Linked DNA regions of Ovis aries. The protein of the gene in region 2 interacts with the protein of the main gene of each other region in a pairwise test. Links are inferred from orthologs where the notes say so. Each region holds a gene or a part of one and is shown on either strand. Other genes may lie near its edges. The genes, in order: ARL2BP, ARL3 and PDE6D.

What was found.
Region 1: the proteins of ARL3 (region 2) and ARL2BP interact in binary tests that used the Homo sapiens proteins (3 or more experiments, as listed by UniProt). The link is inferred for Ovis aries from reciprocal best matches to the Homo sapiens genes ARL3 and ARL2BP.
Region 3: the proteins of ARL3 (region 2) and PDE6D interact in binary tests that used the Homo sapiens proteins (3 or more experiments, as listed by UniProt). The link is inferred for Ovis aries from reciprocal best matches to the Homo sapiens genes ARL3 and PDE6D.

Annotation. Positions count from the first base shown.
Region 1 is NC_056067.1:24,832,022-24,836,881, forward strand, and holds the start of ARL2BP (ADP-ribosylation factor-like protein 2-binding protein), read left to right. Parts: upstream 1-1,558; coding exon 1,559-1,596; intron 1,597-2,298; coding exon 2,299-2,360; intron 2,361-4,244; coding exon 4,245-4,351; intron 4,352-4,860. UniProt on the Homo sapiens protein: Together with ARL2, plays a role in the nuclear translocation, retention and transcriptional activity of STAT3. May play a role as an effector of ARL2.
Region 2 is NC_056075.1:23,056,770-23,061,784, reverse strand, and holds the start of ARL3 (ADP-ribosylation factor-like protein 3), read left to right. Parts: upstream 1-1,954; 5' UTR 1,955-1,973; coding exon 1,974-1,976; intron 1,977-5,015. UniProt on the Homo sapiens protein: Small GTP-binding protein which cycles between an inactive GDP-bound and an active GTP-bound form, and the rate of cycling is regulated by guanine nucleotide exchange factors (GEF) and GTPase-activating proteins (GAP).
Region 3 is NC_056055.1:233,481,775-233,486,547, reverse strand, and holds the start of PDE6D (retinal rod rhodopsin-sensitive cGMP 3',5'-cyclic phosphodiesterase subunit delta), read left to right. Parts: upstream 1-1,752; 5' UTR 1,753-1,915; coding exon 1,916-1,965; intron 1,966-4,773. UniProt on the Homo sapiens protein: Promotes the release of prenylated target proteins from cellular membranes. Modulates the activity of prenylated or palmitoylated Ras family members by regulating their subcellular location.

The DNA.
Region 1 (4,860 bases), on a different chromosome or scaffold from region 2:
TTAGTTCCACACCCCACTGATAGCTATTTTACCTTCATTTAAAGATATCTGTCCATTCAGGCTGGCCATCTGACCCACAGATCAAACGAGGTGAGGTGAAGTCGCTCAGTCGTGTCCGACTCTTTGCAACCCCGTGGACTGTAACCTTCTCTGTCCATGGGATTCTCCAGGCAAGAGTACTGGAGTGGATTGCCATTTCCTTCTCCAGGGGATCTTCCTGACCCAGGGATCGACCCGGGTCTCCCGCACTGGAGGCAGACGCTTTAACCTCTGAGCCACCAGGGAAGCCCGATCAAACATGAACCATATCTTAAAAAAAAAAAAAAAAAAATGAACCATATCTAAAATGTACCACATATTTGGCCAAAAAATAAAATGCAACCGAAAGACACAATGTCTAGTGATCCAATCAGAGAACAGGTCTAGGGTACCCTTTTGTAAAATTGGGCAGTTCGGAGGGGTCTTATCCTGGAGCAAAGTCACCTGATTGCGTTGCTCAAAGTGGTTTTGTCAACGTTAATCTTGCCTAGTTACCCAAGAAACGAGTTACTACCGAATAATTTTTTATGTGAATGTTCATGATGTAAATTACAAGACATCCAGTTCTTGCGGTGGGGCTGGCTTTGGTGGCTGTCTCGCGGTAGTTCCACGAGAGGGAGCAACTATCTCGAAAATCAAATGTCTGCACTATCTGGCTCAAAAGCTAAGGGACTGACTGTGGAAAGACTTCGTGATTTACAGTGCCGGCTCAGAGGTTAAACTATTTGGCTCCAATGTGGGAGACCCAGGTTCGATCCTTGGGTCGGGAAGACCCCTGGAGAAGGAAATGGTAACCCACTCCAGTATTTTTGCCTGGAGAATACCATAGACGGAGGAGCCTGGCGGGCTACAGTCCACGGGGTCGCAAAGAGTCCGACACGACTGAGCAACTTCACTTCAAAAACTAATTTGAATAACAATCTTCTTAAATCTTGTAATTCATTCCCAAGTAGCAAGTGGGTAAATCGAGGCTCTCTCTGGCCTTCCATTCCTTGCTCTTCACATTGGGTACGTCTTGGCTTTAATCGCCCGACAGCGTGGGTATACGTCAGTGAGCCCCTGACCTGCTGTATGCGGCCCAGTTTCCTCTGGCTATCCTCCATCCCTTTGCCTCACTTCCTCTCTCTATCTTTGTCCCGCCCCTGGGTTTGGGTAACGCAGACCTGTGATTGGTTGCTAGGAGCCCCGAGGCGGCGGAAGGGTCGCGGTGGCCATGGTGACGGGAGGCGGGGCGTGGTAACTGACGCCGGACCCAGCGGCGGTAGAGGGGAGTTTAGCTAGGCCTGGGAAGCCCGGGAGGCCCGGCTGGCGTGTGGCCGCAGCCGGGGACCCTGAGGCCGGGACGTCGCGCGCAGGCGCTACCCGGCTGGGCCGTGAGCCGGCCGTGGGCTCGGCGGCGAGGCCTCCCGGATGCCGGTTGGAGCTCTGCGGTGCAAAGCAGGGGCTGCGCCCGGGCCGCAGGCAAGGGTAGAAAGCCCACGGGTTCGCTCCCCGACGCGCGGTGGATGCGGCGGCGGCGATGGACGCCCTAGAGGAAGAGAGCTTCGCGCTGTCCTTGTGAGTCACGCCGCCCGAGCCCGGGAGGCTGAAGGCCGGGGCTGCTGGCGCTTGGCCTAGGCCTCCGCCCTGCGAAACCAGTGCCCTCAGTGGGGGTGGGAAACAAACAAGACTCCCCCCTACCCCACCCCACCCAAGTTCCCGCGGTGGACTCTGCCTCTGCGGCGACCGCGGGGTTTCAGGCGCGGAGGACAGGAGCGCAGCGTGGTGTCGCGCGATGATACACGCCTGTCACAATCCCCCGGTCTCCAGTCCTTAGTTGTCAGCAAAACCTGGTGGGTTTGAGCGGCCGAGGCTCGACCGCGGGTCAGAAGACCCTCCACCGCCAGCACACCACCACCCCCAGGGACTCTAATTTGCCCCTCCCTACCCCGGCCTGTGTGTTGACCGCACCAGGTTTACGCCCGCCCACGAGTAGATTGGTGTGGGGTGATAGTGAAGATGCGGTGAGTAGAACCCACAGGAAATAAATGTGAGGAGCCTTAAGAGGTCTGACGTGAGCCTTGGCACCTTTTATTTGTCCCTCTGTGAGTCCTTGTGTCCCATCAGTTTTCTGAAAGTAGATCCACTACATTAAACTTTGATGTCACTGGTGTGTAAAGTGTGTTTTCTAGAATTCATTTGAAAAGGGCCATAGTACATTTGCGGGGAGGGGGCCAGGAATTAAGCTGAAACAGTACCTAATCCAGGTCTGTTTTTCAGCTCTTCCGCCTCTGATGCAGAATTTGATGCTGTGGTTGGATATTTAGAGGACATTATCATGGGTAAGCTTCCCTACTCCGGCTCGTTAGTTTTTAGACTCTTGCTTTTAACAACATTGAAATCCACTTGTAGAGTTAATTTTTAAAAAGAGAAAACATCATGCTGCATATAATGTTTAATGTGGCATACTGAAATACGAAGTAAGCCGTCCTGTGGTTTGCCTTAAAGTCATATAGCCACTTCTCCTGAAGATAATTGATTACCATAGATTCAGTCCCCAGAAGGGAATCATTCAGGTAGCAGGGCACTTGCAGTTATGGGGCTCATGGCAAAACTTCAGCAAATATTCACTACTTTATTTCAGAGAGTAAGAGTGGTTTTTAGTCTTGAGTCTTAATATTTTTGTGACGTAGAACAGTGTAATAGCATAACCATAGCACATGTGTCCATGAGGAACAAGGTGTCATGCTTCAGCTGGTTCCGTATTTTCCTAGGTCCTGAGTTCCTATTTGTGGATTCATTTGGGCATCCCTGGTGGCTCAGCTGGTAAAGAATCTGCCTGCAGTGCGGGAGACCTGGGTTCGATCCCTGGATTGGGAAGATCCCCTGGAGAAGGGAAAGGCTACCCACTCCAGTATTGTGCCGTGGAGAATTCCATGGACTGTATAGTCCATGAGCTCTCAAAGAGTCGGACACAACTGAGCAACTTTCACTTTGGCATCCATAGGTCCTGCTAAGTATTAAGTGGTAACAAGCATCTCTCATTTAAGACAAATGTGTGGGAAAGAAAAACTTGAAAAAATCTCTCGTATGGGTGACTTTTAAGTTTGCTGAGAATAAGGAAAAGAACACTGTTGTTTAGTGTTATTAGCTGTATTTCTTAGTCTTGTTTAGTGAAAATCACTTGACCCAGTTTTGTACCTTTGGGTCCTATAAAGGTTCATGACCTTAACTCCTAAATACAGATGAAGATACAACATTAAGGTCCCATGTCAATCAGAAGATTCCTGGGGAATGCTGAGGAATACCTGGAGTTCTTTTGGCCTCTACAAGAACCTTGTGTGCAGTGAGGGAAATGAGCTTTCTGTAATCCCAGGGCATTTATTCCTACGTCTAGGCCATTTGTGAAGCATTCCTTTAGTTTTTGGAAAAGATATTCTATTTGGTTGTTGAAATTCCCTAAACCCTAATAAGTGTTTGCTGTGAATCAGTCGCTATACGTGAATCCTCATCTAAATGCCACCTAGCAATCTTTTATGATAGGTACTTTGAAGTTGAAGTTGAAGAAACTGGGACTCAGAGAAATTAACCTGCCCAAGGTTACCCAGTGTTAGTGGTTGAGGTGGGATTTAAACTCCGGTAGTCTAGCCTCTCAGAGAAGGCAATGGCACCCCACTCCAATACTCTTGCCTGGAAAATCCCATGAATGAAGGAGCCTGGTAGGCTGCAGTCCATGGGGTCACTAAGAGTCAGATATGACTGAGCGACTTCCCTTTCACTTTCCACTTTCATGCATTGGAGAAGGAAATGGCAACCCACTCCAGTGTTCTTGCCTGGAGAATCCCAGGGACGGGGGAGCCTGGTGGGCTGCCGTCTATGGGGTCGCACAGAGTCGGACACAACTGAAGTGACTTAGCAGTAGCAGCAGCAGTCTAGCCTCTATCAGAGCCCAGCCATCTAATCACTACACTGTTTCTACCACTGCAGCTGAATTTAAGAGAACCATTTGTGGAGTTCCCAAGCCACCCCGCCCTGAATGGCTGTGTTTAAACTGGGTAGAGGGTGGTGGCAGTGGTTTCACACAGTTTGAAGCCTCTTAATGCCATCGAACTTTACCCTTAACACCGTTAGCTTTCCCTCTCCTAAAGGCTGGCCATTTAGAAAGCAGTTCTGCTGCCATTTAATTCCCACGTGTTAAAAAGAATATGTTTCCTCTTGCGATTCAGATGATGAGTTCCAGTTATTACAGAGGAATTTCATGGACAAGTACTACCAGGAATTTGAAGACACGGAAGAGAATAAGCTCACCTACACGCCTATTTTTAATGAATATGTAAGTGGGTTCCTATTTCTCTTACTGGAGATTAGGATTTCTTTGAAATATGAATTTAGGATTTCTTTAAAATATGAATTTAGGATCAAATAATGCTAAAATCTGCTCAGCTTTTAGAATCTGCCACCAGCACCCTGCTAGGAAGTCTAATTAGAATTGGGTTTAGTCTTCATCACCTATTATTTTCCTTTGCATAGTTCTTGGGGCTGTTTTCCAAATAGTTAATGATCTTGTCTGTTTTAAAAACATGGTTGACTTTATCATAATCCTGCTTTCAGTTACAGTATATGGGCTCCCCATTTCTTGCACTTACATACTTTTGAGCTATCAGCTTTCACACACTATTTTTTCTTACTGCATAATTCAATCAAGTATGCATGACTGTTAGATAAAAGTGAAAACCAAGACTCAGATCACTAACTAGTTGGTGGCAAAACCAAACTAGAACCCAGGAACCTTGGCTCTGGACCCTTGGGTCTTTGCATATGCCAAGGCCCTGTGCAGTCTCC
Region 2 (5,015 bases):
AAAGTCACAAGGCTTAGTCACCTAGACAGGTCCTCTTATCCACTAAAAGGTGTTTGTCTCAAGAAAGAGAAAAGGAGGGAAGAGGGGAAAATATTGAAAAAATTATGTAACCTACTACCTCTCCTTAAGCAATGCTCGTCCTTCCAGGGAGAGCTGATTTTCTCAAGCAGATAGTATCAGAGTTTGGGAAACAGGCTTTCCAAACTCTTCTAGAGTATCCTTTTGCAAGGGTAGGGGAAGCACCCAAGATCTCCTATTTGAATCCCCTACTAGGGGGAAAAACAAAACATCATTGCTAGTACTCCCATCAGAGGAAGATCAAGGCAGTCCAAGACTCAAACAGTTCAAACACAAAGTCCACTAAGATGTCAAGGGCTGGTGTCAAGGCTACCTAGCTCAACCTGGAGAATGAGACTAATAATTAAACCAGCAGGCCCTGGTAGTATATGCCTATGTACAATCAAATGACCCCCTGGCAGCCATGATGTTAGACTCCAGGCAATTTTGGAAGAGAAGTCTGCTTTGCCTTTTTCACAGAAGAACCAGCAGGCTAGAGATAGGTGGAAACTTTACTTGAATGCATAAAATGTTAAGAACCATTCAGGGAAAATCTGCCTTCATTCCAACGATCTTAACTAGGCTGAAAACCTGCTGGTCTTAAAAGCAGCAAAGCCCAAAACCTGGAGGAAACTATTAACAATAGCTAAGCCCAAGGACTTTCCAGGCATTCCAGTGGTGAAGACTCTGCTTCCACTGCAAGGGCACAGGTTCGATCCCTGCTTGGGAAACAAAGATCCCCACATGCCACGCATGGAGCAGCCAAAAATAATAATTCCTCAAGAGTCAGAAAGTACTGGATTCAGGTCCCCACTCTAACCCTTAAAATAATCAATTTCTAGGGCTGTGAGAATGAAGTGAAATCTTGTATGAAAACCATCTCACTAGGAAGGATGTGATTTCCATGAGGGCCGATTTAGCCCCCTGCTGTGTCTCCAGAGTCTAGACTAAGAGCTGGCACAAATATGGTAATTCTTCTCTGCATGGGGAAGGGGTGGGAAATAGCACCCACAATCTCTCTCATTCTTTCTTGTCTAGAAGTGGAGGCCCATTTTTGCCTCCTTCAGGGCTGCAGACGGCGCACCGACCCTGCCAACTTAGTTCAGCAAAACCATCCATTCCAAACACCTTTCACCCCCGTAAGCGATCACCTCATCCCAGCCCTCACGGCCAGTCCTCAGGCAGCTTCTTGCCCTCCGGTAGGCAGCCTCCCACCACCAGGACTCCTCCAGCCTGGATTCTAACACGGATGTGTGCAGACGAGCGAGCAACCCATGACGCCCCCGCTCCTCAGCCTGGCACACGAAGGTACTGGAGGCCATAAGGGGTCCACAGGTAGCTCCTTCTCTTGCCACGTGGCTTTGGCAGGTGCAAGCCCAGCCCGCGCCGCAGCCTCGCCTGGGCAGAGTCAAGACAGAAATGCAAACTCCCTCCTGGGATCTGGGGAATAAAACCTGGCACAGGTAGATGTTGCAGGAGGCGTCCTCTCAAGATCCTTACCTGGACCCGGGAGAAACAGACTGACACAGCTGCTTCCAGAAGCAGCCCGCTTTGGCAGCCAAGCCAGGATGCACTTCTGGCCTCCGCCCGGGAACCTCCCCTCGCCCCGCCCGCACGCCCTCCCTCTGGACCAATCACAAGCCGGGTGGCCCCCGGCAGCCACGTGGGCGAGGTTTCACCATTCCCCAGGTCTGTGCAGCCCGCCGCCTTCTCCCGCCTCTCCAGCAGCCCGCCTGCGCAGTGGGAGGGCACATTGACGCGCTTGCGCACATTGGGGAAAGCGGAGCTGGACCCCGCCCCGTTCTGCTGCTTTGCTCCTCTGCCGTGCGTACGGGGGACGTCGGGGGCGGCGCCGTCGCAGTTGCCCCTGGTAACGGGGGAGGCAGGAGGAGGAGGAGGAGGGACTCGGCGGGAGGATGGTGAGTGTGAGGGCCTGGGTCCCTCCGGAGCTGGTCGGTCACCTGCTTCCCTTCCCCTGGCCCAAGGCAGGGCACTGCGCTTAAAGACAGGAGGGAACGGACTGGCGCTCAGCCTGATGTCCGGGTCCTGGATTGGTTTCGGGGGGCGGCAGGGAGTCCCGAGTGTGGGCCCTGGAGAGAATCTGGGCCTGGGGAGGAAGGCGGAGCTTGCAACCTGTCCGAAACTAGGGGAAGGGGCTGGAAGGGTGCTGGGTTGTCGCGGTACGGAGCCAGGGCTCCATCATTACTCTGGGGATTGGGATGAGGGCGGATCCGAGGAGCTGCGGAGAGCAGCTTCTGCACGCAGGATTAAATCTTCCCAAGGAATCGGCCTCCCAGTGCCGCAGGAGAGTGGGGTTCACCAGTGCCCGGCTAGAAGCGGGGAGAAGGGCCAGCGCTGCTGTCTTTGAGGTCGCGCTGGCGGTACCAGGGGAGATGGTAGCCTAGCTCTCCTGTTCCTCGCGGTGTGAGGGCCTCTGGGGGGTAAGGGTGTAAATCCCCGGACACAAAGAGGTGCCGCTTGGAAGGGATGTCTGGTGTATTTTAAGCCGTCTCGGTGTCTGAGTGGCGGGCGCGCTTCTGCAGTCCCGAGTTTTTTATTTCCTGAGGGTTCTGCAAGGTCTGGTTGTTGGTGATAGCCAGTCTCCTGTTCAATACGTGTTGGTGGAGACAGATTTGCTGCCCGATCCTTAGTATTTACTTCGGACCTGTTGCCACCTTCCTTTGCATATGACCACACCAGAAGCAAAGGCCTTAGTCTCAGTTTGGAGTAGATTAAAAAAGGAGAGTGGCCATCAGTTTGGGGCTAGCCTTGTCTCTGTCAGGCCAGAATAAAGCTTTCCCAAATACGTAAATTATGTGACGTATTTGACGCTTGACACTGTTCCTTGTTGATTTCTCTGCACTTAATTGGAGGGTATTAAAATGAAATTGAGTGGTTTTAAAACTAGTGGGAGAAACAATTTATTTCGGAGCGTTTGGAGCAGGCTGATAAATTTACCAGCTGCAGAAAGCTAGCACTCAAGCTTACAGTTCCTTCCCTGTCCCAACTCCAGTCCCTTTTTGACTTTTAGAACTGTTGAACCACTTCTATTGATTTATGAAGTAAGAAAAAGCTAGATGTCCAGAAGGAAAAAAAAAAACACATGTACATTTGGTTAGATTATCCAGTGAGTAAATTTTGATAGGAAAAATTTATTTCAATTGATTTAAAATTGTCACATTGTTAAAGAAGTAGCATTATTGGATCTGAAGTTGCCAATCACATTTCAACACTTGCTACACTGCAGTTTTATTAACCTCAGGCTAAACAGATTTTTAAATGTTTGCTTTTTATTAATCGTTTATACATGAGCTGTCCATTTAAAGGCTAAGTTTTTCTCAACAAATGAGTACAAACATAAATATTTACACAGAAAATAACTAGAATTGAAATGAAAAAGGCATGCCAAACCAACAGAGAAAGGCATGGCATCATAAAGGAGAAACGCATGAGAGCGGGCTAACTTTTCCCAGTTTGTTTATCAGTGAAGTGGACTGTGTAATTTCATGACTGTTTAATTTATAATTACAAGCCACAATAAATTAACCACTGTTTATGTTTCCAGGTACAGATTGACACTTTATACAACAAATTGACAGTGTACACAACACTATTGTATACAACTGTTGTATTCAGTGATCAAGACAGATTTTGTTTTTCTTTTTTTAATTTTTTTTCCTACAATAAATAATAAGGAATTAGGGCAGATTATTCAGGAGTCTTCATCTGGTTTCCAAAATACACTTTTTTTCTATCTCCAAAAGTATGAGCTATTTTTAGAACTCGATAAGTGGAACACGGAATTTAAAGGGTCAGTGGTATGATTAAGTATGTCATATCTGATACCCATGGGTCCCCATAGTAACTCTTCAGGAGTTCCAGGTTTATTTATTGTCTTAATCCTTCAGCTATGACTAATACATATTTATTCTTTTAAAATTTGGAATACAGCAACAAAAACACATTATTGATTTCTCTGAACCCCTAGAAGTTCAGCTATTTTACCCCTACCTTAGGATGCCAAGTCCTTGGTGAAATACTAAATTGACCGTAATTTTTGTGCATAACTAATCACTCTTGCCTGGAAAATCCCATGGACGGAGGAGCCTGGTGGGCTGCCATCTATGGGGTCGCACAGAGTCGGACACGACTGAAGCGACTTAGCAACAGCAGCAATCACTGTTAGGAGAAGGCAATGGCATCCCACTCCAGTACTCTTGCCTGGAAAATCCCATGGACAGAGGAGCCTGGTAGGCTATAGTCCATGGGGTCGCTAAGAGTCAGACACGACTGAGCGACTTCACTTTCTCTTTTCACCTTCATGCATTGGAGAAGGAAATGGCAACCCACTCCAGAGTTCTTACCTGGAGAATCCCAGGGACGGGGGAGCCTGGTGGGCTGCGGTCTATGGGGTCGCACAGAGTAGGACACGACTGAAGCGACTTAGCAGCAGCAGCAGCAATCACTGTTATTTAATAGATGAGTCCTCCATTCAGGAATTATTTATGGAGTAATTTCTGAATATATAAAGCTAGTGATATTTATCAAGCATGTTTGACATTTGAAGATTGTTCCCAAGATTATGTTTTCTGGTCAAAAATGGTCGGTGAAAAGTAGAAACATAAACACAACAACTGTTTTGAGTTCCCTCTATGTGCATGCTTCACACATCATCTGATTTAATCTTCATAGCATTCTTCTTGAGATATAAGTATTGTTCCCATTTTCTAGATGAAACTATGCTGGAGGTTACCCATCAGGATGTTGAATAAAAGTCTGTGAAACTCTAAAGCCCATAATGTATTTTTCATTAAGACTCTGATGAAGTAAGAACCCACTCCAGCTGAGGAGATGCCAGTATTTTGTTCCTCAGGGAACATTGTATTTATTTAGTAGAGAGATGAGAAAAAAGATTTGGGTGAAGTTCTCCCTAACAAAGCTATAGGAGTTCCTGGAAA
Region 3 (4,773 bases), on a different chromosome or scaffold from region 2:
GAATCACACGGAAGGAAAAATTGGGTGGGTGCCCAGATGGGCAAAAGAGGTAAAGGAAGAGGAAGGAAGGCCTAGAAAAAGAGTAGCAGATCGCTAAAGAAACTTTAGCTTAAACTACAGTATTTATCTAGTTTCTGAAATCATATTAAAGCTTTACTGTCTGAGCTACCAGGGAAGCCCTTGAACACAGAACAAATCAAAACACCAAGTTTTACCTAGACTGAGGATAAACAAAGACTGCACTCCTTCACTTGCAGGAAAGTCACCAAATAAATGTTCACCTAATATCCACTGAAGAAAAACGTACAACCTAAAACTTGCAAGTAATGTTTTATACAGGGACCTTACTGAGGACTATAGCCCAGGAGACAGCCTCATATAGCCCTGAGGAACTGCTCCAAAAAAGAAAGGGAGGAGCCAGGATATTAGCAGTTTTTGCTGAAAAGAGAGCTTGTAGTTGAACATCAAAAGATTACTGCCAATTAACAAGAAACAGACAACTAGAATGATTTCTGTGGTTTTCTATGCATGGGAAGATGCAAGTGTCTGGGCTCATTGAAATCATTCCCTAGACATGCATCTTAATTATCTAGAGCAAGTTCCTATTTTTCTCCCTCCTGAATCCTCCTCTGGGCCCATTTTCAGCGGTGGCTTCAGTGGCTGATGGCTTGACGGTGGGCAACGTTTGTTGTTTACTGAAATGTCAGGCAACATTTTTTTGTCCACAGTATCCTCTGGGTGTTTCAACCTTGATAGGAAAACTTCACCAAGGAGAGGAAGATCGCATAGCCATGTTGCTAAAAATATCACTACCCTAGTGTAGTGCAAAAAGCCCAGACTGCAGGAGTCTTAGAGCTGAATTTTAACTCTGCCCCAACTTTCTGTGACCCCGACAATCTCTCTGCCTCTCTGGGCCTCAGTTTCTTCATACGTAAAATAACAGAGGTTAGATTAGCAAATCCTCTGAATTCTGACTGCATTGATAGTCTGAGTACACAACCTTTACATCTCTTGGTCCACCGCAGGAGCACACCAGAAATCCCTGAGAAATACCTAACCGGCTCCCCAGGCCAACAAACAAGTACGGCTTGAAGGAGTCATTCTGTTACATTCTTTTTCATGATTTAATCAGTGTTTGTGTTTGTTGTTTCAGCCTTACCATGATTTGCAGGAGATTTCTGGGTTCCATGTAAATAGAAGTTACTTGTCTGTGGGCTGTCATCTTTTGAGGCTGAAGAGGATCTTCCTGCCCGGTTTCAACCCCTGGGATTCAGAAACCACCAAGCCTACAAGCAGATTTAGGGGTTTGCGCACACTGCGCGGCACACTGGAATCGAAGTTAGAGGAACTGAGTGCGGGGAATGCTGGGATTTGTAGTCCCTGGGTTTTCTGTTGCGTGCTGGGATCTGTGGTCCCCCCGGGCGCCCCCTGGAATGCTGGGAAGTGTAGTCTCCACCACATCGCACAGGGCAACGGGCTGTCATCTCAAAGCCCTACTGTACCCAGCCGCAGGAGAGCCTCTGCAAATCTGAAGCAAACTCTCCTCTGGGACAAACTCTAGGTAACCACGCCGAATGAAAATTTTGTCCTACGGGACTTCCCCGTGAGGGCCCTTCCCATTGACGCTCTTCGTCCCCCTGCGAAGCCGCTGAGTGTTTCTATTGGTCGATCAAGATGCCAATCGCCGAGGCAGGCTTCCTATTGGCTTCAAGGCGGGCGCTCAGAGGCTAGAGGGAAGGAGAAGGGATAAGGAGCGGGAGCTGAGGGGAGGGAGAGGCCGGTTTGGGTCTGGCCGCTGCCGCTGTTCTCCCGAGGTCTTCAGGCCGGGCTGCGGCTCCGTCCTCAGTTCCTGGGCACCGTCTGCGAGGCTCCGCCAGGCCAGCGTGAGAGAGCCGCAGGCGGCGGCCGCCGCATCATGTCAGCCAAGGACGAGCGTGCCAGGGAGATCCTGAGGGGCTTCAAACTGTATCCGCCCGGGAGCGGGGCGGGGCCGGGAGGACTCGGGAGGCGGCCGCTCGCTGAGGAGACGGGCCGGGGGCGGGGGCCGCGCCAGGTGGGCACCCGAGGAGAGGGTGGCGGGAAAGGGGAACAGGAACGGCGTCCGGGGGCCCCCGGCGGGACCCGGCGCGGGAGGCGGGGAAAGGGGCGTCTGGAGGAAAGGAGGGGACGTTGATGGGAGACCTGTGGGTAGAGGCAGAGGAGCCGCCGAATGGGGCTGGGAGAGGCTCCGGGCGTCGGAAACCGGAGTCGGGGAGGCGCGCTTGGGTCCGAGAAGGGAGGCCGGGAAGGGGCTGCGGCCCGTAGGGGAGAGCCGAGGGGGCGCGGTGGGCTGACCTCGAAGCCCAGCAGCCTCTGGCGGGAAGCCCACCGGGCAGCAGGGGGAAAAGTGACTTGGAGCGAGTGACCTTGTGTGGGACAAATACAGATGCTGGTGTTGAACTCTCAATGCGAGTGGGGTTCTCGCATCCCACTCCGCACCCCCCAACCCCACCCCAGACGCCACTCCCCTTCTTGTTTCCACAACTTCTCTTCCTCACTTGTGGCTCCTTCCAGGGCTGGAGCGGAGGAAGGTTGGGAGTGAGGAGTCCGAGATGGACCTCACCTTAACTCTGTCTTGGCCCTTGGAGGCGTTGGACGGTCGCTGAGTCTCCCTCAGCTCCTCAGTTGTCTTTCTAGCGAAATGAGGACCCTAGATGTGTGCGTGAGATGCCTTGAGGCGTTTTGGGTTTGCACTGGGACTCCTGGTGAAGGGGTGTGTCTGCTCGCACAAGTTTGTGTGGTTAAGGCGTAGACATGCTGGAACTGTCCAGCAATTGTTTGATTACGTTGGGGACACTGTAGGGTTTAGTAGGGTGTAGAAATCATTGCCTCGGGCCTGTTGTGGTGCTGCAAATACTACCTTCTTACCATAGTGAAACTGTGTTTGAATGGAGTGTTTATCTGTGACCATTTGATGCAGATGGAAAAAGTGCAATCTTCTCCGTTCCAATCTCACATTTTCCTGCTGACCTTAATCTCTTCTCACATCCTATGTTTACAATATGGAACATTCTTCAGTTCGTCTCTTAATGAACATATAGTCATCCCTGTAGGGCTCCTCCCCTGGAGATTTAGTCAAGCACTGTTCTCTGAGCTGACTGTGTTTCCACAGAGTCCATTTCACCCCTGCAGATTTTCATTGCCTTGTCATAATCAGAAACCAAGTTGGTAGTAAGTTTTAGAACCCAGCAGCAAAAAAGTTTAACAGAAAGTTTTGGAGGTACAAATTAAGTTTTTCAAAGGGGAACTGACCTACTATGCTTTTTTTTTTAAGGGAAGGCAATATTACCTAAACTTACTGCCATTCATGATAAACTTTAAATACTTTCATGCAGTGAAGTTTCCTAACAGCCTCTTTTACATATTAATAGCTTCATGTACTTCCCCTGTTTCTCTTCCTGATAGTGCCTATAGATAGGAATGGCTGAAGTGTTACAAAAGCTATGACGTGGATTTTATTTTTCCCTTAAGTAATTTATATTGCTACTTTACATTTATGCTATAAACAGTAAACTGAAGACTATAAAGAATTGAGAGATTTCAGAAGCCATGTTTTTATCTGATTGGAGTTAACATGTTGCTGAAAATAAGAACGGGTCTTTCAAACCAAAAAGGGAAAGTTTGAGCTACTCACCTTCAGTCTTGGTTCTTGAATGTTGTTCAAGAGAAACTTTGGCTCTTGAGAAAGAGGCAAAGGACAAATATGGGAAAGAATAGAAAGTAGAACCTGTGTTGTTTAGTGCATCACGAAACAGGCTTTCAGGGAAAATTTGACCGGGGCTGATTAAATCACATGGGGAGCAGCCACCAAGAAAATTTAGCGTGGAGACAACAGAATATCCTCCTCTGGTAGCTTTTATTCACATCCGAGAATTAAAAGAGAAAAGAAAAGAGTTCTAGGATTTGTTACTACCTTCAGGGAAAAATAAAATTAATATTTTAATAAGAAAATACCTGTTATCCACCTTTTATTGTATAAATTGTTCCAAGTATCTTTTTCTGTAAGAAGAGTCATTTCTACAAAAAGAAATCACCATTTTATTCTCCTGCCAACAATGTTGATAGTACTTATTTTCCACATTTACTGTGTTGGTCTTTTTCTTTTTGTCAGTTTTAACAGTAGATGACATCTTGTTTTAACTTGTGTTTCCCAGATACTGCTATCTCTGGAGAGGTAACAGCATAGTGTTTAAGAGATACGCTGGCTTGAGAGCTTTACTATCTGCAGTGGAATTCCAGCTCAGGTTGTGTGTCCCTGAGGAGCTTCTTTTAACTGCTGTTACAATTTCCTTAGCAGTTAAAAAAGGATAAAAATAGTATCTTATCTCCTAGAGTTATTGTGAGCATTAAATTAGTTGATATCTAAAGCATTTAGCCAAGCACTTGATGCCTGTAAGCACATTGTATTAGCTGTTATCGCTGCCATTGTTATTATTAGAAGTCACAAAATCTGGCCATTTCTTTTTCTTCTGTGAATTGTTTGTTGATTTTGTTTTTGCCCATTTTACTATTGAATTGCGTATTTTTCTTATTGCTTTGTAGGTGTTCTTTATTGTAATGTCAATCCTTTGTGTATATTACATATTGCCAATGTTTCTCTCGACGGTTTACTTTTTTTTTGTTGAACAGAAGTTTAATACTATAAATTCATCAATACTTTTCATGTGACTTTTGAATTTTGTGTCTTGTTTAAGAAGACCTTTCTTATCTTACTGTTAATAAATATCCTCCTAT